Linked DNA regions of Arabidopsis thaliana. The protein of the gene in region 3 purifies or fractionates together with the protein of the main gene of each other region. This does not show direct contact. Each region holds a gene or a part of one and is shown on either strand. Other genes may lie near its edges.

The links.
Region 1: the proteins of AT2G40650 (region 3) and AT5G08180 fractionate together in Arabidopsis thaliana (co-fractionation; one large-scale study listed by BioGRID). This does not show direct contact.
Region 2: the proteins of AT2G40650 (region 3) and AT3G07590 fractionate together in Arabidopsis thaliana (co-fractionation; one large-scale study listed by BioGRID). This does not show direct contact.
Region 4: the proteins of AT2G40650 (region 3) and AT4G02840 fractionate together in Arabidopsis thaliana (co-fractionation; one large-scale study listed by BioGRID). This does not show direct contact.

What each region holds. Positions count from the first base shown.
Region 1 is NC_003076.8:2,630,382-2,635,855, forward strand, and holds AT5G08180 (Ribosomal protein L7Ae/L30e/S12e/Gadd45 family protein), read right to left. Parts: upstream 3,470-5,474; 5' UTR 3,298-3,469; exon of another isoform or gene 3,055-3,297; 5' UTR 2,994-3,054; coding exon 2,861-2,993; intron 2,753-2,860; coding exon 2,683-2,752; intron 2,543-2,682; exon of another isoform or gene 2,389-2,542; intron 2,285-2,388; exon of another isoform or gene 2,143-2,284; intron 2,036-2,142; exon of another isoform or gene 1,919-2,035; intron 1,822-1,918; coding exon 1,716-1,821; intron 1,624-1,715; coding exon 1,462-1,623; 3' UTR 1,135-1,461; downstream 1-1,134. Other genes in the region: EMB1873 (porphyromonas-type peptidyl-arginine deiminase family protein), read right to left, coding at 1-93, 577-666. UniProt on the Arabidopsis thaliana protein: Required for ribosome biogenesis. Part of a complex which catalyzes pseudouridylation of rRNA. This involves the isomerization of uridine such that the ribose is subsequently attached to C5, instead of the normal N1.
Region 2 is NC_003074.8:2,420,958-2,425,649, reverse strand, and holds AT3G07590 (Small nuclear ribonucleoprotein family protein), read right to left. Parts: upstream 2,600-4,692; 5' UTR 2,505-2,599; coding exon 2,491-2,504; intron 2,352-2,490; coding exon 2,275-2,351; intron 2,197-2,274; exon of another isoform or gene 2,061-2,196; coding exon of another isoform or gene 2,048-2,060; coding exon 1,856-2,047; intron 1,754-1,855; coding exon 1,692-1,753; 3' UTR 1,663-1,691; downstream 1-1,662. Other genes in the region: AT3G07600 (Heavy metal transport/detoxification superfamily protein), read left to right, coding at 696-701, 804-882, 962-1,350; AT3G07580 (uncharacterized protein), read left to right, coding at 2,989-3,038, 3,155-3,186, 3,622-3,768, 3,994-4,044, 4,217-4,269, 4,375-4,473. UniProt on the Arabidopsis thaliana protein: Involved in splicing regulation.
Region 3 is NC_003071.7:16,961,799-16,967,753, forward strand, and holds AT2G40650 (PRP38 family protein), read right to left. Parts: upstream 4,001-5,955; 5' UTR 3,799-4,000; coding exon 3,509-3,798; intron 3,314-3,508; coding exon 3,192-3,313; intron 3,102-3,191; coding exon 3,011-3,101; intron 2,921-3,010; coding exon 2,800-2,920; intron 2,705-2,799; coding exon 2,631-2,704; intron 2,160-2,630; coding exon 1,790-2,159; 3' UTR 1,488-1,789; downstream 1-1,487. Other genes in the region: AT2G40640 (RING/U-box superfamily protein), read right to left, coding at 74-162, 239-296, 397-478, 674-899, 995-1,400; AT2G40660 (Nucleic acid-binding, OB-fold-like protein), read left to right, coding at 4,213-4,275, 4,571-4,669, 4,884-5,054, 5,209-5,274, 5,471-5,536, 5,662-5,784, 5,877-5,955. UniProt on the Arabidopsis thaliana protein: Probably required for the first pre-mRNA cleavage reaction catalyzed by the spliceosome.
Region 4 is NC_003075.7:1,262,078-1,267,188, forward strand, and holds AT4G02840 (Small nuclear ribonucleoprotein family protein), read left to right. Parts: upstream 1-2,549; 5' UTR 2,550-2,648; coding exon 2,649-2,662; intron 2,663-2,786; coding exon 2,787-2,863; intron 2,864-3,056; coding exon 3,057-3,086; intron 3,087-3,824; coding exon 3,825-4,016; intron 4,017-4,108; coding exon 4,109-4,176; 3' UTR 4,177-4,382; downstream 4,383-5,111. Other genes in the region: AT4G02830 (uncharacterized protein), read left to right, coding at 370-465, 563-652, 804-960, 1,516-1,605, 1,734-1,855; AT4G02850 (phenazine biosynthesis PhzC/PhzF family protein), read right to left, coding at 4,458-4,565, 4,655-4,738, 4,857-5,018, 5,096-5,111. UniProt on the Arabidopsis thaliana protein: Involved in splicing regulation.

The DNA.
Region 1 (5,474 bases), on a different chromosome or scaffold from region 3:
AGTGACAGGCTCGAACTTTGAGATGGCCTTTGCAACATCTGCAAACACTCGTTGTGCGGGTAAAGCGTTGTGCCGCCAGTTATCTTGCCGTTCCTGCAGCCATATTATGACAGAATTATAATCCAGATTTCAAAATCACAAAAGTGGTTTGAGGTTTGATTCATGTATTCAGTGATGAAACAAATCGAAACAAACAACCTAACTGAAAATGCTTTAAATTCTGATTTGGTTGCAGAATCTGTAACCATGATAGATTGCAATGTAAAAGATCTCATCTCATGTCACATCTAGATGCTAACTTGACATACAGAAGCTATACAAAATTTATCGGAAACTCTACAAAAACGAACCAGGAAGCAGAGAAATCATCAAATAAACAGAAAACAGCAATTCGAACAATGATAAACTACGAGCAGGATCCATATAAAAAAAAAAAAAGGACAAAATCGAAATCGAAGTTTGATTTTTGAACAGCGAGATTGAGTTCTCCAGAATCGCCGTCAATTTTTACTTTATCTCAGGTTAATGAATAAAACATGAAAAAAAAAGAAAAGAGGAAGAGAGATAGAGAATTACAGGCCAACCGATCCAAGTTTGAGCATGAGAATCCCATTCCGCCGGCATGTAGTAGCCGTGTTCCGCCGGCGATTCTCGTGACTCCTCCATTCTTCACGATGTTTTTGTGAGAGAGAAGTCAGATGTAAGCTTTAAACTGATGTGTATACCGTATGCGTTATTGATTCCTAATACTTCTTTTTCTGACCAAGAAGAGAAAAAAAAAGAAAGGTACACAAAAAGATTCCGAAACAATTTCTCAGTTTTCTTAAGAGACCCGTATAGAATATATTTTCTTACAGTTGGACCCCATCTTTTTAACTATTCGACTGAAACTTATGCTCATTACACGACCGGGCACGACCCCACTATTAGTGGTGAGCGGAATCAGAATCCAGAGGCGAGCAGAATCGGAATCCTAAACCCAATCTAGTGACCCAAACACGACAAAAGTTGTTTTGATATTTTTCTTTTTCTTTTCTTGTTTTTATTGTCATTTCAACCGTAATCTTTCATTTCAACAAACTTCTAACATAACAATTCAAAAAGATATATAGCTATGCCAAATAAAAGTTGTGTATAACTTAATGTTGATTATTAACAAAAACTAAATTAGTCTGTATAATAAATAATGATGTAATAACCAATCGATAGCACGAAGACATGACTAAGTACTGACCACGTAAGGAGACAATGACTAAACACGTAAGGAGGAGATTTAAAAAAACGCCATAAAGAGAGCACTAACCAGATGAAACCATAGGATTCATGATTCAAACTTTTACAATCGATTAGCGCTACAATATCAAAAACCTTAAATAGTCCAAAGTAATATCCGATGCCGTAAATATGATGATATTCATTAACCATCAAAAGCACAAGAGGAACACCCATTCTAGTTTCTAATCAGATTACAGAAGTTGCTAGCTCCTTAATATCGTCAGAGACTTGTTCGTAGTCTGTCTTTAACTTTGCAAGTTCTTCTGCAGTTAAATCTCCTTTCGCAGGTTTAAGCATTACCAAGACACAACATGTTGGTCGTTTCGTTGCCCCTGCTTGCGCAAGATCCTGAATTTCATAAAAAAAATATTGAATATCTTAGCACCACAAAACCGATTAATTGGTAAGATGATAGAAATCAAGAAAGAAAATTGGCTTACTTCTTTTGAAGGAACGTATACATAAGGAACACCAGCCTCCTCACACAAGATTGGAAGATGAGTAATAACATCAATAGGTGAAATGTTTCCAGCTATTACACATAATCTGCACAAACACAAACGTATCACATCAGATACAACATTCAAAACATAAAAGAATTTACTGTTTGCGTAGAAGAAGGAAAAAACAATTAGAAATGTAAAAATGTGGGTTCAAATCAGGCCCGCAAATCAAAGAACCAATAAGGAACTCAGAGCAGGCACAGACATTTGAAACCCATGATTCAGTTTCCGTGCACAGTACCATGCTACAATCATTCTGTTTAATCCAGAGCATCGGCTTAATTGTACACGGATATAACATCAACTATGCAAACAACTATCATAACATCAATGAAAACAAACATAATAAGTAACAAAAAGCAGAGAATGTAGATCTAAACCAGGCCGTCTCATCACGAAAAATCAGAGATGGCAGACATGTCGATCTATAGTTTAGTTTCCGTGCACAGTACCATGCTTCCTTCATTCTATTTTAATCCAGAGCATCGGCTTAATTGTAGACGGCTTTCAAAATCAGCTAAATAAAGAGCTTACACTAGTAGATAACATCATGAATGATCATAGAAGAACATGTTACCGTTTTCACAAACATAATCACAACACAAACAGAGAATGTGGATCTAAACCAGGCCGTCTAATCAGGGAAAAAATCAGAGATGGCAGACATGTCGATCCATAGTTCAGTTTCCGTGTACAGTACCATGCTACATTCATTACTTTAATCCAGAGCATCGGCTTATTTGTACACGGATTTCAAAACTAACTAAGCAATTTGCAGGACAATAACATCAACTAATCAATTAATAACACAAAACATCAACACATATACATCAGCTAAGCCATCTGCAACACAAAACAATCATAAATCACACTCAATAAAAAGACAAAGAATGAAAAAACTAACCCTTTCTGGCCTCGTCTTATGCTCTTAACCACTTCTTTAACTCCTCTCTTCAAACATTTCTTCCCAGCAGCTGACAAAAATTACAGAGCAATACACCAACATGAGCTACTAATCAATATATAATGAGAAATAAAGAAGATAGAGAGATGTGAAGCGAGCTTGGAACTGAGATTGGTACCTTTTTGAATGAGTTTGAAAGTTCTCTTCTGGAGTTTTTTGCCGGCGAGAGGTTTAGCGATAGGAGCAAGAGTAATAGCGTACTTCTTCTTCTCCTTTTGAATCGACTTCTCTGCTTCGGTATCGCTTCCCATATTTTTTAGCTAGCTAGCTCCAAGTAACAAAAATAATGGCGGAAGAGTGTGGCGGAAAAAACTAGGGTTTAGGCGGTTGTTATATGACCAGAAGTGTTAGGGTTTTTATAGAGAAGTGTATTATTGACCAGTAAAATATAGGAACCCTAATTTCATATGGGCTTGTTAATGAGGTAAACTGGTTGCATATAATGGCCCAATTATTTGGGCCTTCATACAGACTAAGATTTGCTACATTCATTGACTTTTGACTTTGAGATATTGTATGTTGTTTAGCTTGAAAATCAAAAAAATCAAATCCGACCAAAAAAAAAAAAAAAAATCAAATTTTCCTTAAGATAATGTTAGTTACTGTAGCTGGTGAATGTTATTTAACCACATTCTCGCAAATAAATTCCAACGATTAGTATGAGGTTTTTTATCGGATGCTCAGATGAAAAGACTTTTTTAAAAACTTCACCAAGTGATTTTGCTTTATCCATGACATCCATTATCTATATATATTACCAAAAAACAGTATGATTCTATTACCAAAACGTGTTTCTAACTTGCTTGAGGAAATGTACAAACAACTAACAAAAAGCCATAAGTGAAGATTGATGTTTGGAGCTTGAATGTCATTGTCGGGTCAATAAGTACGTAGGAATATCATGGGGATGGAGATCAGTGTTTGCGTTAGCAATTAACAATTTTCGGTTTCATCATATATAGTAGAAAATAATGAACTTAATCACAAAACAAAACAGTGGATAATCCAAAAAGCAGCTCAAGGCATGGCAGAGTTTACATATTTTTGGAGTGAATTGATTCTTGTTGTTAAAAACTCAACATCAAATCAGCTTCATGAACTTGAAACGCTTCTAAAGCATAGATATCAGAGTGAAGGATTAAGAACAAGTACCCACAGATGTCATCCTCGCTTCACCACTGATACATCGCCTACTACAATATATAGGAGACTGCAATTGATTTCACTGGTCCAGAGAAAGCAAATTTAGATGCCAACTTCTATCTCACCTACAAATGTATAAAGGGCATTGTTACAAGAACACAGGAAAATTTGTACCGATTTATACAATGGCAAATTTGTACCGATTTGTACCTACAAATGTACCGATTTATAAAGAGAAATCTTGCATGTTGGAAAAAAGCAAGAAAATTTTGAAGCTAGACTTTTTGATACATGAAACAAAACACAACACTTTTTCAGGAACATTGTTTGGTCAGACGAAGTAAGCAACCTACAAGAATCTGAACTTCTTTTTAATTATCCAACGCCAAATCTACTTGATAAACATTAAGATAAAGCTAAGGCGCTTATCAGTCAACTACACACTTCAATAACAAGCACTTCATTAACTGAAAAAACAAACAAACTAAAGAGGTCGAATTCTCACCAGAAACAACAGTCACCTCTTCATCTGCTCTCTAAGAACACAAAATCCTCAGCTTTCCCAGAAAAGTAATCGGACTTGACTCTGTTTTCCCTCACTTTTTTCTTCTTTCAAAAACCAATAAACAAAAAGATTCAAGTCAATAAGAAAGATACAAGAGGCAAACGCTGGATGCAGAGGTTTATCGATCTATTCATGCTTTTACATTTTTAATGTGTTCACAGGAAGAGATCGATGAACCGCTGCCTCCAGCGACTCTCACTCTTCTTCCAACTAAACTCCAAAATGTCAACGAAACATAAATTTTCCGAATCGGATCAAACGAAACACATCAGATCTGAAAATTCAACAGTCAAAATCTATACCACAAGTAGTAAATAGCTGGATCTTTATTGCCTTATGAAACCAAATGGACAAAAACATATACCCTAGATTACACACATGCATCTGCAGACAAACTGGGAGAAAGAGAATCAGTGTGATGATAGAGATATGTCAAATTAATGAATCCAACAAAGAAAGAAAAAGGAAACAGAGAGATGAAAGTTTTAACCAGGAATCTTCTTGACCAGATACCATTTGTGATTCTCTGATTTGCCTATTGGCCTACTACATCCCTCCTCTCTCTCTATCTTTTAATAACAAACTTTATAGATCTGGTTTTTTCTTCTAGAACTAAAATGTATTTGATTCATATTTATAACTAAAATGTATCTAAAAGTCTCATAACATATTTGTCCAAGAAAAAATTGTAGTAACATAGTTATTGAATTTGAATATCATAAGATTTAGGAAGACATTTTAAAAATCATATTTGAATAACATGTAACATGAATAACATACTAAAAAGAAGAATGACATGGAGTTGGAAATAAATCAAACTCTTACAAAATACTTCAAAATTCAATACATCCCCTAATTTCTCTGATTAACCAGTGGACTAAAAAGCGGATGATTTGTTCAAAACCAAAAAAAAAAAAAAAAACTTGGGCTGAAATGGGTCGTGTCTGCTGCAAGCAAGCCTACATATGTAATGTTCGGTAAAAAGCCCATTTCATTTGTCTTAAAAAATAACGAAATTAGATCT
Region 2 (4,692 bases), on a different chromosome or scaffold from region 3:
AGCTTATTGTTTCATTACGTTAGAAAACTGCAATATGATTGCGAAAGTACGTATTGCAAGTCAAGCATATAACATTTGTTAATACAGATGGATGACAGATTAGTAGTCAAGTTAATCTTTTTTTTTATTGAGAAGGAAGTTAGAGGGAAACATGTACTCTAGAGAAGACCAAGACTTTTAACGCATCTGTTCTATTCATTGTTATGCACAACTGGATGATGAACAAACAAAACTTATTAATCATCATAATTGACATATCGACTCAAAAATTATTAAGTCTTTTGCCATACATGTCTAAAACTACCAGGCAACGGTGTAGTAAACAAATATTATTTGTGTTGTTTACCATTATTTAATCAATTTATTTTGACCCAGTCAAATAACTATTTCATCTAATTTTTTGACTCAATCAAATAAAGATTTTTGTTAGGCTTTTTAAAATTAAAAAATTGGTAATAAGCTCGTACGAATCGGCAACTAGAACCAATAAAACACGTAAGGACCGAAGATATGAACCTGACAACGATATTCAAACTATCGGATTCCGTTGTGTGAGACAACGACTCATGGAACAAATGAATATATAAAATCGATCCTTATTTATATTTCCTCTAATTTGTGATCGAAGAAGACACAAAAAAGTTCGGAGCAAACTCCCATCAAACAAATCACGCGGATTCTCAGAAGACAATAACATGAAGGTATGTCTCCTGTGTACTCAACAACAAGTAATAACTTCGATTCTCTTGTGAAAGAGAGAGACTTCTCTTTGTGATGTTAAGGAGTTCTCTTATTGTACTCAGCAAAAGATCCTGATAAGAATTGCTATGACTGATGACACAACTCGAGCAAAGGCAATGAAAACTGCGGTTCAGTTTAAAGGTAACAATGATACAAACACTAGAGAACTTGATGATTGTAATTCTTGTTGAATCTAAAGATTTATCGCATTGGTTTATAGGCGTGAACGCTGTGGAAATAAAGGGAGATCACAGGAACCAGATTGAGGTGACCGGTGTTGAAGTCGATATGATTGCTCTAATCAACACACTCAGGAAAAAAGTTGCATTTGCGGAGCTTGTTAGCGTAGCTAAAGTTGAACCACCTAAGGATGGTGACAAAAAGCCAGAAGAAGAAAAGAAACCCGAAGAGAAGAAACCCGAAGAGAAGAAACCTGAAGAGAAGAAACCTGAGCCATGTTGTCAACCATGGCAAAAACCTGAGCCATGTTATCAACCATGGCCTCATGATGGATATGGTGTGCCATCTTCCTATCCCTACCCGTGTGATCCCTACAATCAGATCGGGGAACCCGTTTACAATCAAGATCCCAATTGCAGGATCATGTGAGATAGGTTTCATGTGGAAGATTAACGGAGGAGATAGCAGTTTTTCTATACTAAGATTGTCAACATGTTAATGCAATTTGATAGTCAGATTTGTTAAATGAATAAAAAGTCTTGAGCTATCAGTATCACACAAATTCTCTACTTGTAGATGCTCTTATAACATGTAAAGCCAAATCTTGTTATCCATGGAATTCCATTACAAAGTAACTCCTTACTAGAGCATCAATCATACTATTTCTCAATCAAATCTTTCCTTTGCCAGAGTTGCTAGTTACATAACTCGTACATTCTCCTAAAAATTAAACTCACAAACCTTCAACATGTTCCAGAGCGCTGCTACATCTAACGACCTCTGCCGCGACCACGCCCACGGCCACGTCCGCGACCGCGTCCAACAGCTTTCCCTAAAGAAGAAAGAAAGAGAGAACGAATAAATGGACTGATAAAGAAGTCTTTTAGCTTATGAAGACGAATATTACAAACACCAAAAATGAATGAAGCAGTACCAGCAACAGGCTTCTTAGGTTTAACTCTAGGAGTGTCTTCCACAAGTAAAGTCTCGAGGTTCAAGCTATCAGGAAGAATGTAGTAGCGAATATTATTACCCCTCAAGCTAAGATGATCAAGTGTTACTGGGTTTTTCCCCTTCAGGCTCATCTTCACTGTCTTCAAGTGAGTGTTCATGCTCACATCAACACCTGCCCAAATCATCAAGCTTAAACTTCAATAAATATACCTTTATGACTACTGGCTCTAACTGTGTGTTTACTCAACCTATTCATGTGATCACAAGGACGCGATTAGGGCCAATTGAAAATAAGGGAACAGATCGCGACTTGTATAAGACCTAGCAACGGAGAAATCGAGAGAGAAGAAAAGATGAGAAGAGCTACAAAGAAACCGGAAGCTAACAATAAGAACTTACCAGTGATGGTTCCATGGACCACAGTCCCATTCTTCAGCTCGATAGACACAGTTTCATTGTTTAACTTCATCAAAAACCTACTCGATCCAATCAAAACCATATAACACAAATCAGCTCAGGCTCAATATTGGGAATGGATTCCATGCCAGGAGCTAACTAAGATTAAGAACAACATGAATTTTCTAAAGAAAAGAAGAACTGAGAACGAAACAGTACCTGACGAGCTTCATCTTTGGATGCGAAGAAAGAACAACCAAACAAAGAAATTGACGAGGAAACAGCGAAAGGTGTGAAAACCCTCAAAACCCTTCTTTCGCTGTGAGAGACCTCACGATGGAGCGGGTACAGATCCGATTCCGGTTTTGGATCCATCAGCTAAATTACAATATTGGGCCCAAAAATGTAGTAAGGCCCATAAAGTCCAATGGTGGACCAGTAGATGTTTCAACCAGAAATCTACATACAGTTGGTTCAGCAAACCGGAAATTGAACACGAAACGTTAATTTCGGAAAGGCGTAATAAAAGCGCGCGAGAGGTTGATAAACACGCGTCGAAGAATTCGCGCGTGAAGATTGAACGACTTCAGACGAGAAGACGCTTTTCAACGTTCTCTATGCGTTAAACAGTTGACTGTTGACAGATCTCCTCCGGTAGAGAGAGAGAGAGAGAGAGAGAGAGTTCTCTGAAAAAACTGCGTAAATCCTAACTCGTCAATGGCGGATTCGAGCTCCAATCAGAATCGATACACTCCTCCTAATCAAAGGTAACTTCTTCTTCTTCTTCTTCAGTGGTCTTTGATCTGCTGATTTCGAGTGTTCTTTATTCTACTGATTTCGCTACTCCGTTCTTACCTTTCGATGTTGCTTCTCCGTGTCACAGGAAGGCTTCTGGGAATCGCCGGAAGTCGGGAGGTATGTGAGCTCTCTCTCTCTCTCTCTGTCTTCTTTGCCTCAGTCGTTCTTTATTGATTCTTAATCAATTCGGTTCTTAATTCCGAGAGTATCTAGTTCTGTGGAGATTATAGCTTAGATCAAAGATTGTCGATGAATAGAAGTAATCTTGTTTTGTAGATTCAGGAATTGATTGCATGCGAATCTGTACACATTGTGTTTGTGCATAGTTGGTAACTTCAAGAACCGTTTCTAAGAAAGTGAATTATTAGGAGTTTAGCCTGAAATTCAGATCTCGCTCTCTCTTTATTAGCAAATCCGCTGGTTGATTCATTTCTCCATGTGTGTACTTGACCCATTTGTTTGCCTGTTTTCTTGAAAATAAATCGTCGTTCAAGCTATATCTGGTTTTGCTAGTATGCTATGGTTCTTGGCTAAATAAAGAGTGAAATGCAGATCGAACAAGTAGCCAACAGAACAACGATAATGAGAGAAATCAGCCTCCTGCTACTGGTCTTCAGATGGAAAACATATCCCAGACCCAGAGGATAATAACAATAAAGGACTGCTCCAGGAGTGCAGCTTATCAGCTCATGAGCCAACGTATAAATCTGAACTATCTCTTTAAACATTTAGCTGGTTTATTCTTTGCTCTGTATCACTATCTGGTCGTTCTTCTATCAACTGTTGCTATGCTAAGCATTTGTTGAGTCAGTGCTAGTTTTAGAAATCTTTGAACTTAATAGATAAGGTGTGTTGAATTCACTGCTTATGCAGTCAGTTTTATGTACTTGTCTTATTTACGTGCTCTTGATTTGTCATGAACAGGATGGGCAGCTGAAATGCATCAATACGACGACCCAACTGTGGATCTATCTGGTGAGATTAAGGGATTCTAAGTTTTCCTTTGTCCTTTGTGTCTATTATACTTGTGCTGCTTGAGTTGCCTCCAAATACAATCAGATATATCTATGTTCTTATCTGGATCTCTGTCTTCCGGTTAGTCAAGTATAACTGATTTTCAAGTTTGCCTACTTTCTCTGTTTCACAGTGCGACCAATCATGTACTATGGAGGGAGTGTTTGGGGTAAACTACCTCATCAGGTGGAACTAACTTCAAACTCTTATCATATGCTTCTAGTTTTTCTAAAGATGTGAGTACATGAATGATGAGACCCCATCTCTTGTTTTGTGTCAAAACAATTACAGATCCTGGCTGCAGCAAACAAGACATTACCTCCTCCATCGCCAACGGATTACATGACTGAAGTGCGGCGAGGATTGCTGATGCCAAAAGCCAACAATTGAATGGTTCTTGTTCAGATGATGGAGCCCATATAGACTAGTGAAATGGTGTTTGTTGAGATGGCACAAGCGGTGGTATGTCAATGACTTTTATATTGTGTGTGTGTAGGATAACAGATATTGCTTTTGTCAGGATCGGTTGTTTTCTCTGGTCCCTGAAAGTGTAAAAAACCCAAACCAGAGATTTGAGTAACAATCACGTTACCATCTCATTTTAGCTTA
Region 3 (5,955 bases):
AAGAAACTCTGCTTATCTGATTTCTCACTGTTAATGTAATCTCACATGATTACTGTGTATTGGAAAAACAAACCTGATCCGACCTTTCTTTCCTTCTTTTCAGCGTGTGAATATGATCTGAATCTTCTTCTTGGCGGAAAGCATGAACTACAATTCTGAGAGCTGAACAAGCCAATAAACTTGATCAGGAAGAAGAATAGAAGTCTTTCTCTGAAACTAGTAATGCCGTGAAACTCACAGAGATTTGGCTTTTCTGATCCTTCTAAAGTAGGTTGGGAACATGTGAAACATGCTTTCTAACAACAAAAATTACCAAAACTCAGATTATTAAGATTCACATGAGACAAAAGCAAGAAGACCCTTATTAAATGGACTGGTTAAGAGTCAGTCATATACCATTTTTTTAACTTCTTTTAATCCCCCGGCGCCAAAAGAATGTCCACAAGGCAGTATGGTAGCATCATTCATCAAGGCTCCGCTATCCAAACCAAAGTAACAGAAAAGAAAAATCATCTCTATGAATGTTAACAAGAATTAGCCTTCTAGACGATACACTTTCCATCACACAACAATAATCATCAAGGTTACATTGACATTGACTCAGATTCAAAAATTAAACTGATCTTAGTTATCAAATTCCCTGACCATTGACAAGCAGACTTAACAAACTTACGTGACAGGATCAGAGAGGATGGCCTTGAGAGACTCCCAAGAGCTGACACTAGTAGTAGTGACTCTCTCCTTCTCCACAGAAGCAAAATCTCGCTTTTGTTGCGTGTTACGGTGGGAATTAGATACGTTACCATCTGGTTTAGTGATCCTCACCTTAAACTCCATTTCATGTCGATCAATCGTTGAATTACCTTCCCCATCTTCTCTCACAACCAGTTCCCAACCAACTGAGCTTAAGTAAAACCAAAGAATTTTTCGTTAGCTTCAACAATCTTGGAATCTCCGGTAGTCGTGAAAGAAGTAATGTAGAGTATTATTATACCTGGATTTTTACTTTCTCTGTTGGTTTCTTCAGCTGCAGCAGAATCATAATTGTTACCGGAATCAATACCAGGCTGAATCAGAGCAGTTCGTCTTCGGATAGAAACGTCGTACTCTTCATCATCTCCATCGGAATACATGGTTTCATCTTTCTCAATTCTATTTCCGCAGAAACCTTGCTGGGTTCTGAAATGGCGATCGCCGACGGTTTCGAGCTCCCGGATCTTAGTACCTGAATCTCCCACACGGAAACGCAAAGATTCATCTTCAACGTGGAATACGAACCGAGGATCGATACTGTCGTTAACGGACATTTGCTTTTCCGCCGGAAAATTCAGAAGGCGATCGATAGAGACTGGAAGAGCACAGAGAGAGAGTTTAAAACGACGTCGTCGTAAGTGGGACATGAGTAGCACGCGCGTCGTGATGGTTAATGATTATGAAACCGTATCATTTACCTATAAGCTTTTGGTGGGTCCGATTTACATGGACTCATAAAGTGATATCGCCACGTAGACATAACATATAGGTTTTTATATTTATCTGAATTACCTTAAAAACAACTAATATCAAGAACCGGGTTACATTCAGAATTTCTCGACCACAATTCGTTTACGGTTTAGAGAACATACAGTACAATGCCATTACAGATTCTCCATTTTGTTCTACATTAAAGAGGGATCAGGTAAACTCAAAAAAACCAAAACTATAGTGAGTAGGATCACAGTGTAGTAACCGGTTTAGCTGGGCAAATGAACCAAGTTTCGGTTTGATAAAGATGTCCTCATTTCACAGTTCAGTCCCTGAGGGGTTTCATTCCCAGTGATGCTCTCAGTCTATTCATCTCTGCAATTTCAGGATTTGGATGATCGGTTCCATCTTCCTTCATCTTCTCCTTCTTTTCTTTCTTTTTCTTAGGTTCTTCCCGATCCCGCACATCATCAGTTTCATGTCTCTTACGATCCCTACTCCTGCTTCTACTTCTGCGCCTTGCCCTGTCTCTTCTGTCTCGTTCTCTATCTCTGCCTCTTTCCCTGTCCCTATCTCGCTCTCTATAGTGATCCCTGTCTCTCTCCCTATCCCGGTCTCGACCATGCCCACGTTCTCTTTCATAGTCTCTGTCATGATCTCGATCCATATCATAGTCTCTGTCATAATCACGATCCCTGCCAATCACAGAACCATGGTCAAATTATAATTCATGAAACAATGAGCTCAAGTCTCAACATCAATCATAATGAAAATCTGTAACAAAAAGAAAACATTGATTGAGCTAAAAACTAGATGGGAAGTGCTCTCATGATTAACTGATCTTTTTCAAAGTAACACAATGACAACTACCATATACTGTATCAGGGTAAGGATTGTAATAATGTCTGATCCATAATACTTCTCTCTGAACACTGTCAGTACAGAGAAACCTGGAAGGATCTCTACAAATTTAATTTCGGAAGCTGTATCCAACCGCTGATGGCTTGAGATGCCATAGTGGAAACAGACACTCAAAAGACAGAGTACTAGACATGATGCAAGAGCATTAGCTAGATCAAACAGCTTCCACAATCACAAAGAATTTTTTTTTGAAAAATGTTAACTAGCATAGAAATGTATCTAGTAAAGGTCACGGATTCAGATACCTGTGTCTATGACTGTCGCGTCTCCTGTCTCTGTCTCTTTCTCTTTCTCTTTCAGGACTCTTACGGCGCTGATCCTGTAAAAGAGGAGGAAGATGGTATCATCTTAGAGCTGCTAGATAGAAACAGAAAACAGATCACATAAAAACTATTGCAGAATGAAAGCACTGACCATCTCATCTTCAGATCCATCAGCAATCCCTTCATTCTCCTCCTTTTCTTCCTCTTCTTCAAAGTCGTCTTCCAAAACACTTTTCCTTGGCTCTAATAAACCATTCTGTTCAAGCGTCCACCTATCATCAGAGTGAAAAATTAACCATCTTAAAATACTGCAGAAACCAAAAACTAATTATTCAGCTTCAGACAAATGCAAAAGAAGAAACCTTTTCTTCAAACGTGGCATTGCAATATCACAAGAATAATCCTTGGTTAGAAGTTCCTCAATGACTTCGTCCACATGTGTCAGCGAAAACTCTATTCCAAACCAAAGAAATAAATCTAGTTAGTGAACAAATCAATCAAAAGTTAAACACAACGGATCCATCGAAAGAAAATGAAACTTACTCCCATCAGATAACTTTTGTCTCACTTTCCGGTAGTCATTGTAGAGAGGTTCGAGGTAGCGATAGACATCAACATCAGTCCCAGTGAGACGCAGATAGAACGCACCAAGAATACGAACATATCTGCAGAAACCAAAAGAGTAAATATTTCAGTAATTCAAGAACAAATATCTGCAGAAACTAAGAGAGTAGATTATCTAAGACCAATAGATTTGAGAGACATTCCATACCTGTATACTTGAGAAACAACTACGACAAGGCTAATAGCAGTATCCAATCTAGATTACGCAGAAATAAGCTTTTGGTTAGAAATCTTACTTGTAGTCATCATTTTTTATGAACTCCACGACAATTTCCTTCTCAGGCTGGATTTGAAGCATCTTCAATATGAGGCAAAGGAACGGAGTAGGCTTGCGGCTACCACCAAAGGTACCACCTAGATGGTCGAGCTCCATAGCTTTGTCCACCAATGTCTCCGCCGTGAGACCAAAGCACTGCTCCTTCCAAAAGGTGTGCTGATAAATCTTCGTTCGCACAATCTTCTCTACCAGATTCTGCGGATTCGTTCCTCTTATATTCTTTGCCAACGGATCTGTTCTGTTTGCCATTATCGCCTGAAGTTAATCAGAAACTGCCTCAAAGGCCTAGTCGTCGGAATAATAAACGTCGAGCGACGCCGCTTCAGTGAAGCCGGAATCGATGAAACAGCTTCCACGAATTTGCCGTCGTCGAAGACGAAGACACTCTAGGTCTTTGAAGAATCTGAGAAGTTAATTCATTTATTTTATTTTATTAATGATTGCTTTCGGTGGTAAAGCCCATAGTAAGAACATATTAATGGGCTGCTAATATATCTAGGCCCATTATAGATGGAGATAACGCCGTTAGTTGGAAGTCCGTTAGGACCGTTAGTTACATCAAGCAAAAACCCTATCGAAGAAATTGCAGTGTGTTTTCTTACAGCGAAGAGCCCCAAAGAGAAGAACAAAATTTCGAAAATAGAGAAAGAGAAGAAGTTGACGATGGATTCAAAGGCGAAGCAGATGATTCTTTCAGCTCTCTGCAAACACTTCTCTTTGGATCCTGTAAGTATTGAAGAAGATGACATCTCAAAAGCTTCTGCTTTTTTGTGAGGTTTTGCTTGGTAGCTGAGTATGTGTATGATCATTTTTTGAATTAGTTAGTGGAGAAAACTCGAACATTATCTGATTGGGTACTGAAATCAATTAGAAAGTTTATGTTTTGGACTTATCAGTGTTTACGCTTATGCATCAAGCTGGTCATGAAAAAGGAAAAAACTTTAGAAATTGGCTTTTATGATTTTACATTGTGATGATTTATTGGTTCTGTTTCTGAAATTGATTTGATTCATTTGTTTAGGAACCTTTTGTGGGCGGAGCGGGTGAAAGTGATATCAAGACACTTTATTCTAATGTATTGAAGGCATCTGGAAAGGAAGTATCTGCACAAAACAACGATGTAAGTCGTTTCTTCTTGAATTTGGTTCCTATAGACATAAACGCCAAACTCTTACTGGGAATTTATTGAGTTCCCTTCTCGTTGCTACCACGTTAGAAAAAAAATGAATTAGTATGTTTGAGTTCTGTGTAATGCTAAATGATGAGGATTCGTTGGCTTTCGTTTGCATAATGCGTCATTGTTTCACATTTTAAAGAGTAAAAACCTATTTCAGGTTTTGAAGTGGCTAGATTTTGCGGAAGGTTTCTCTTCAGATTCAAAGGATTGGTTTTCAGCTCTTGAAAAGTTGAATTTAGAGTTAGCTACCAAGTCAGTGCTCTTGGGAAACGGATTGACGCCATCGGCAGCTGATGTTGCTGTGTTTTCAGCTCTGCATTCTTCAGTGGTACCACTTCTCTATATTCCGTAGTCTACTTATTTTTCGTTCCTGTATAAGTAATTTTATGTTACTTGATAAAGATGCTACGATCAAATTTTCATAAACTGATGACTAAAGGTATTAAATACTAACTGTTATCTGTTTGACTTGCTGTTCCCAGCTTGGCCTCTCAGATTCAGACAAGGAGAAAGTACCACATGTCATAAGATGGGTGAATTACATCCAGGTAAGTTCGACATCATAAAGTTTTGTTACTTGATTGCGCCGAGGTAGCCTGTAAATCCATGGAGGACTACTTTATGTGTACGCGTAACGGCGTTAGTGACTATAGCTAGATATGCACTCTCTGAACATCACCTTTCACATTTTTCTTTCCTTGTGATTGTCTGCTTTACGAATATATGCTGCGTATTATTTTACAGAATAAAGAAGAGTTGTCGACATTATTTGCACCAATACCTGTGAAGCTACCAGAATTTAGCTTCGAGGTGAATTATCTTTTCATACCCATTTTCTTAGACTGAGAAACAATAATAACATGCTACTTTTTTCAGATGTATTACATGCGATGAGAAAATGGTTTTCTGATCTTTTTCATTTATTCTAAACGTAGGTACCAAAACCTGCCATTAAGGTGGAAACAAATTCTAATTCAAAAAAAGCTGCAGAAGGTGTAAAGCCTGTTGACAAGCCAGATGTGCAGCCGCAGCTGGGCACAAAGAAAACTGAGCCAGAGGTACTTATTTTAACTTTTAAGTTTGATTTCAATGACTGTGAGTCTCTTTAATTAGTTGAATCTGGTGTTCTCCTCTGTCCTTTTTCGTGTAGGAACCAAAGAAAAATGCAGCAAAAGAGAAGGATGCCAAAAAGGAAAAGAAGAAGCCTGCTGAACCAGAACCAGCTAAGA
Region 4 (5,111 bases), on a different chromosome or scaffold from region 3:
TTTGTTTTGTTTCGAAAATTTGAAATGAAAGGGTGTGTAACTCTCGTTTCATCCTCGTAGTAATGATGAAACCAAATTCAAATAATAAAATCATTGAAACTCTTCTTTGTTGTCAACATAATAATTAGTTTTCTATAAAACCAAATTTGTCGTCATCATCTCTCCTTCTACTTTCCAAACCCATTAATATTTATAGTTAAGATTCAGGTCAGAAGTTGGGGACAATCAAAACCTCTTCTCTTCTTTCTTTTGTCAACAAAGAAACATTTCCATTGAGTCTCTCTCAATGTTCTTCTTCTTCTTCTTCTAAGATTAATTCAAAGTGTTTAATACTTTTGAAATTTTAAGTTTCTTTTTGGTCAGTTTCAAATGGGTGACATCATCGGTCACAAGGATAGGCAAATATGGCCACCCTCTCATCATGTTCTTCAAGATCCATTGTTTGATCATTCCAACAAACATCAGGTTTATATTATCTTATATCTAAATTTTTTCTATTTGAATTTGTTATTTTTTTCTCCTATTCTATATCGAAGTCGTTGTTAATTAAATTCTCACATAGTTGCAGAAATATGTCAAGAACCACCATCACCACGGCAACGGTGAATTTCGTCGGCCCGGGGCACCTCCTCTTAGACAAACATTTCCTTTGGTATTTCTTTTCAATCTTTTTTTTGGTTACAATCTCTTAACGGTATTGGAGGAAATATCATTATGGACATTAACGTATGTATTTAAACATATCTTATATATTTTCAAACTAAAGCTCAAATATTTTGTATATATATTTTTGTGTGTTGAAGAACTATAATACAAGACAAAAGCACCAAAGCAATTGGCAAAGGAGTAAAGGAGAGGATCGTATGCAAGCATTTTTCTTGGTTACACCGGGCCGTACAACTTCTGGCACCGGAGTTTTTCTTCCAGCCACGGCTTCTCATCCACCCACCAAAAAAACAGGTTATTTATTAATTACTCTATACTAAGTATTTATGAACACAAATAAAGGTGCATAATGTTTTCAATTTCATAAAATCAATTCTACCAACTGCATATACTAAAATTCTTTTAGTTTCAGGTTAAAGTTGATTTGACATGATTTTTAACTTACATTTTGTCGTTAAGTCGTTTTTTTTTTTTTGAAAATAATGTTCAAATTATATTCAAAAGAAAAATAACTTTTTTACAACCACTGCTTCTTGAGATTGAAGATTTAGAGCTAGACAAAATTTAGAAGAATTTGAAAATTTTTGATGATTTTTTTTGTCGTTTTTTGTTTTAAACATATATAAACACAAAAACCTCAATTCTTCGATTACTACGAAATATATCATGGATTCATACATCTATTACCATTTTTTTCTATCTATTTCGTAGCTTTTGTAGGACAATTGACATAAAGAAATTGTGATTTGTTGGTTTTTACGTTAGTCAGCCTTTACTATATAGACTCATTAATATATGATTTAATGTTATACAATTTTGATTGATGAAAACAAAATTCTCTTGTCATAGCTTGCTCACCGGTGCTTCTCCCGACTCGTGTAGTTCAAGCACTCAATCTTAACATTCACAACAACGGTATCCATATTTCTCCTCGTCCAGGTTCTTTTCCAACCATTATTTGTTCTCATCGACCGTTATTCAAATACATTGTGTTATATATTACAAATTAGTTTGAACTATAGATATATTTTGGTTGAAATTGGTAACATTGTTTCTTTTGAATGTAGAAATTAGAGAAAATGATTCGAAGAAGAAGAGCGAAATGTTGGCAACAACACCTATCAAGATTGAAGCAGAAAATCCTATTGATTCGCCGGAGAAACTTCTCCCCGAGGAATGGATTTATTGATGACCCAACCATTAGTATGGAAAAGTAGAATCAAATAAAATAAAATGAAAGATTCTTGTGTTGATGTTACAAAAGAAAAGAAAAGATTCTTGTGTTGATAAGAAAAGAAAAGATTCTTGTGTTGTATGCTTCGTCACCATTGGATTAGTAATAAAAATCCAAATAAGAGACTCTGTATATTCCATTCATAATGTAATATCCCCTATTTTCAGTTGAAAAATTTGCATAATTTAGTTGTCACAATTATTAATGGATTTAGGAAAAATTGGATCAACAATACCAAGATGAATGACTGGATTCGAACACCAACGTTACTATTGGGCTAAAAGGCCGAATCAAGAATACTAAAACCTTTTGTTTTTTTACTATTTAGCTAGCTAATGATGAAATTTTTTATCATTGTATTGTTAATTTTGACTAAACAAAAGTTTTAAACAGTTTTTTTTCAAAACTAAACAAAATGTGATTGATAAAAGATAAATTTCTAAAGTGAGTGATTAGATTCCGCAAATCAGATTATTTGAGTTAATTATTCTGTTTCTTTCATTTGGGGTTGTTTTTGTTCAATAAAAAGTTGAGAAGGGTGTTATTGATAAGTTCAAAACAAATAGGGTATAACCAAACATTCAAGGAAGTAAGAGACCGTCGGTGTGAAGCAGAATCCATAATTGGGGACTTAAACATAAATTCCCCTATTGCTGCTTTTCCTCCTCCCGCTCTTGCTTCTTGCCATTGCTGTTTCGAGCTCTCCTCAAAGCCCTAATTTTCTCCTCTTCTTCTTCATTCTCTCACCATGAAGCTCGTCAGGTATGGTTTCTACTCGGATTCTCTTTATTTCTTCGGTTTAATTGGAATTTGCTTCGAAATTTTGAGATTTCTCTTTGTTTTCATGCTCTTCGATGTTTGATTTCGTATCTGGATTTTTTCGCAGGTTTTTGATGAAATTGAACAACGAAACAGTTTCAATCGAGCTTAAGAACGGAACCATTGTTCATGGAACCATTACTGGTACGCTTCTCTTAAAAACCCAGCTCTATTCGCTGTTTAGGGTTTTGTGTAAAATCTACGATGCTTACCTGTAATCGATGGTTACTCGCGTATTCACAAATTCTGATGGTGTAGTTTGAGTTTAGCTAGTGTCTTTCCCCTAATAATGCTTTGTTGGTATTAACCCTAGTGACACTGGTCAAGTCAGATGCAGATGAGTACACTAGATTTTACTTGAATCGAGGTTTATGAGATAGTTTAGTTCTTCTTCAAACTTTGATCACCCATGAGGTAGTTTACTTTCTCCTTTGATGGTTGTAACCAATGGAGCTCTCGAATTTACTAATTCTGATGTGTAATTCTGTTAATAGACCTAGAAATGCATTGTGGGTGTTGAATCTCTCTTGTTTGCAATAAGTGAATGATAATGGTGGTCTAGTCAGATGGAGATGATACATTTTATTTTGCTTTATAGTTGGGTGTATGAGAATGCTTAGTTCTTCTGGGAGTGAGTTTAGCACATGATTATATATGAGATAGTTTACTTTAGTTTCCCTCTTTATCATTGTGGACCTCTCTTGTTAACAAATCCTGAGGCTTAATTCTGTTATTAGTGATAGTATCTGAAGAAGTTAGAGTTTAGCTGAGTCTTAATTATTTTTTTACCTCGAAATGCTTTGTTGGTAACCCTCTTGTTAGCAAGAACTGAGTGATACTTGTCGAGTCAGATGCAGATGATTAGATTTAGCACATGAAAGTCACTCTTATCTCTTTCCTTGTAAAGAAAATCTCTGATTTTTCACAGAACAGTTACCGTGTGGCTTCTTGTTTCAACTTCTCTTTTAGTCTGATTGATCTAATACAAGTGGTCTCTGCTGTTAATGTTTGGTTTGGTTTCCTTTTTCTGCCATCATCTTGTTTAGAATGCAATTATCAATCAACTCACTGACTGGTACTATCTACTTGTGATGACTTAATGCAGGTGTAGATGTTAGCATGAACACTCATTTAAAAGCTGTGAAACTCACTCTGAAAGGGAAGAATCCAGTTACATTAGACCACTTAAGTGTCAGGGGAAACAACATTCGCTATTATATTCTTCCGGACAGTTTGAATCTGGAGACTTTGCTGGTTGAAGACACTCCAAGAATCAAACCCAAAAAGCCAACTGCAGGTAACAAAACATTTCTTTTTTCTGAACTATGCCTTTGTTTTTGTTTTTGTTTTTGCTTAGACTCATCTTTCTATTGTTCTCTTTGGTATCAGGTAAGATTCCAGCAGGTCGGGGACGTGGTCGTGGAAGAGGTCGTGGACGTGGCCGTGGTGGTCGTTAAGCATTTTGCAGTAATCAAAAGTCTGGTCCTTTTTGGTTTGTAACAGCAGGATTGTAAAAGATCTATCTTGTAGTGAGATTTGGTGTCACTAAGACAAATTCTTGTTATCTCTTTAAGTTTTCATGAATTTGAGATTTGAAACGTTATTGCCAAACATACATCACTCAATATGTTTTATTATTGACTTGATCACTTTATTACATAGTCTGATAAAACGTGGGGAGTTCGAGAAATCAAAATCTTGACCTTATTTTTCAAGACTTTGGCAAAGAGTCGAAAGATTAAACTAAGATAGAGCCTTTCATGACAGTCACAGCTTTCCCGGTAAGCAAGACTCTCTGCTTCTCCTTATCATAATGAACCTTGAGTGTTCCACTTCTTTGCGAAGCCTGAAAAGAAATTCGTTGATTCGTTAATATGTGTGATTATTTCTTGCTTCGAAATGTTAGTTAGCTAGTTACAGAGAAAGATGAATTACCGCAAAAGCGACGAAATCACACTTGTTCATCTTGAGGCTCCAGTAATGTGCTAATGAACAATGTGCACTTCCACATACAGAGTCCTGAAGGAACAAAAGCACCAAGCAAATAAGGTAACGGTAAACACTTTTGGTAACGGCTACCACAAGTAAAAAGCAGAGAATTGCTCCCATGCACGAAGTTGCAGGTTAGTTTCTTAACCTCATTGAGCCCTAGTTTAGGAGCAAAGAGTCGACTGCAGAAGTCAAAAGGAGATCCTTGAGGAGCAGCAGCGGTAACAATCATCACTTTGCCAGGGCATTTCACGATATCATCCACTCTTGGCTGAAATTCAATGACAGATTCCCAAGATGAAAGCACAACCTGTAATCAAATCATATAAATAAGCAAAAAATAGAAAGTTCACAAGTTTTCTTTCTAAGGAAATCTGAAATACATACGATGATTTGGTCTGTT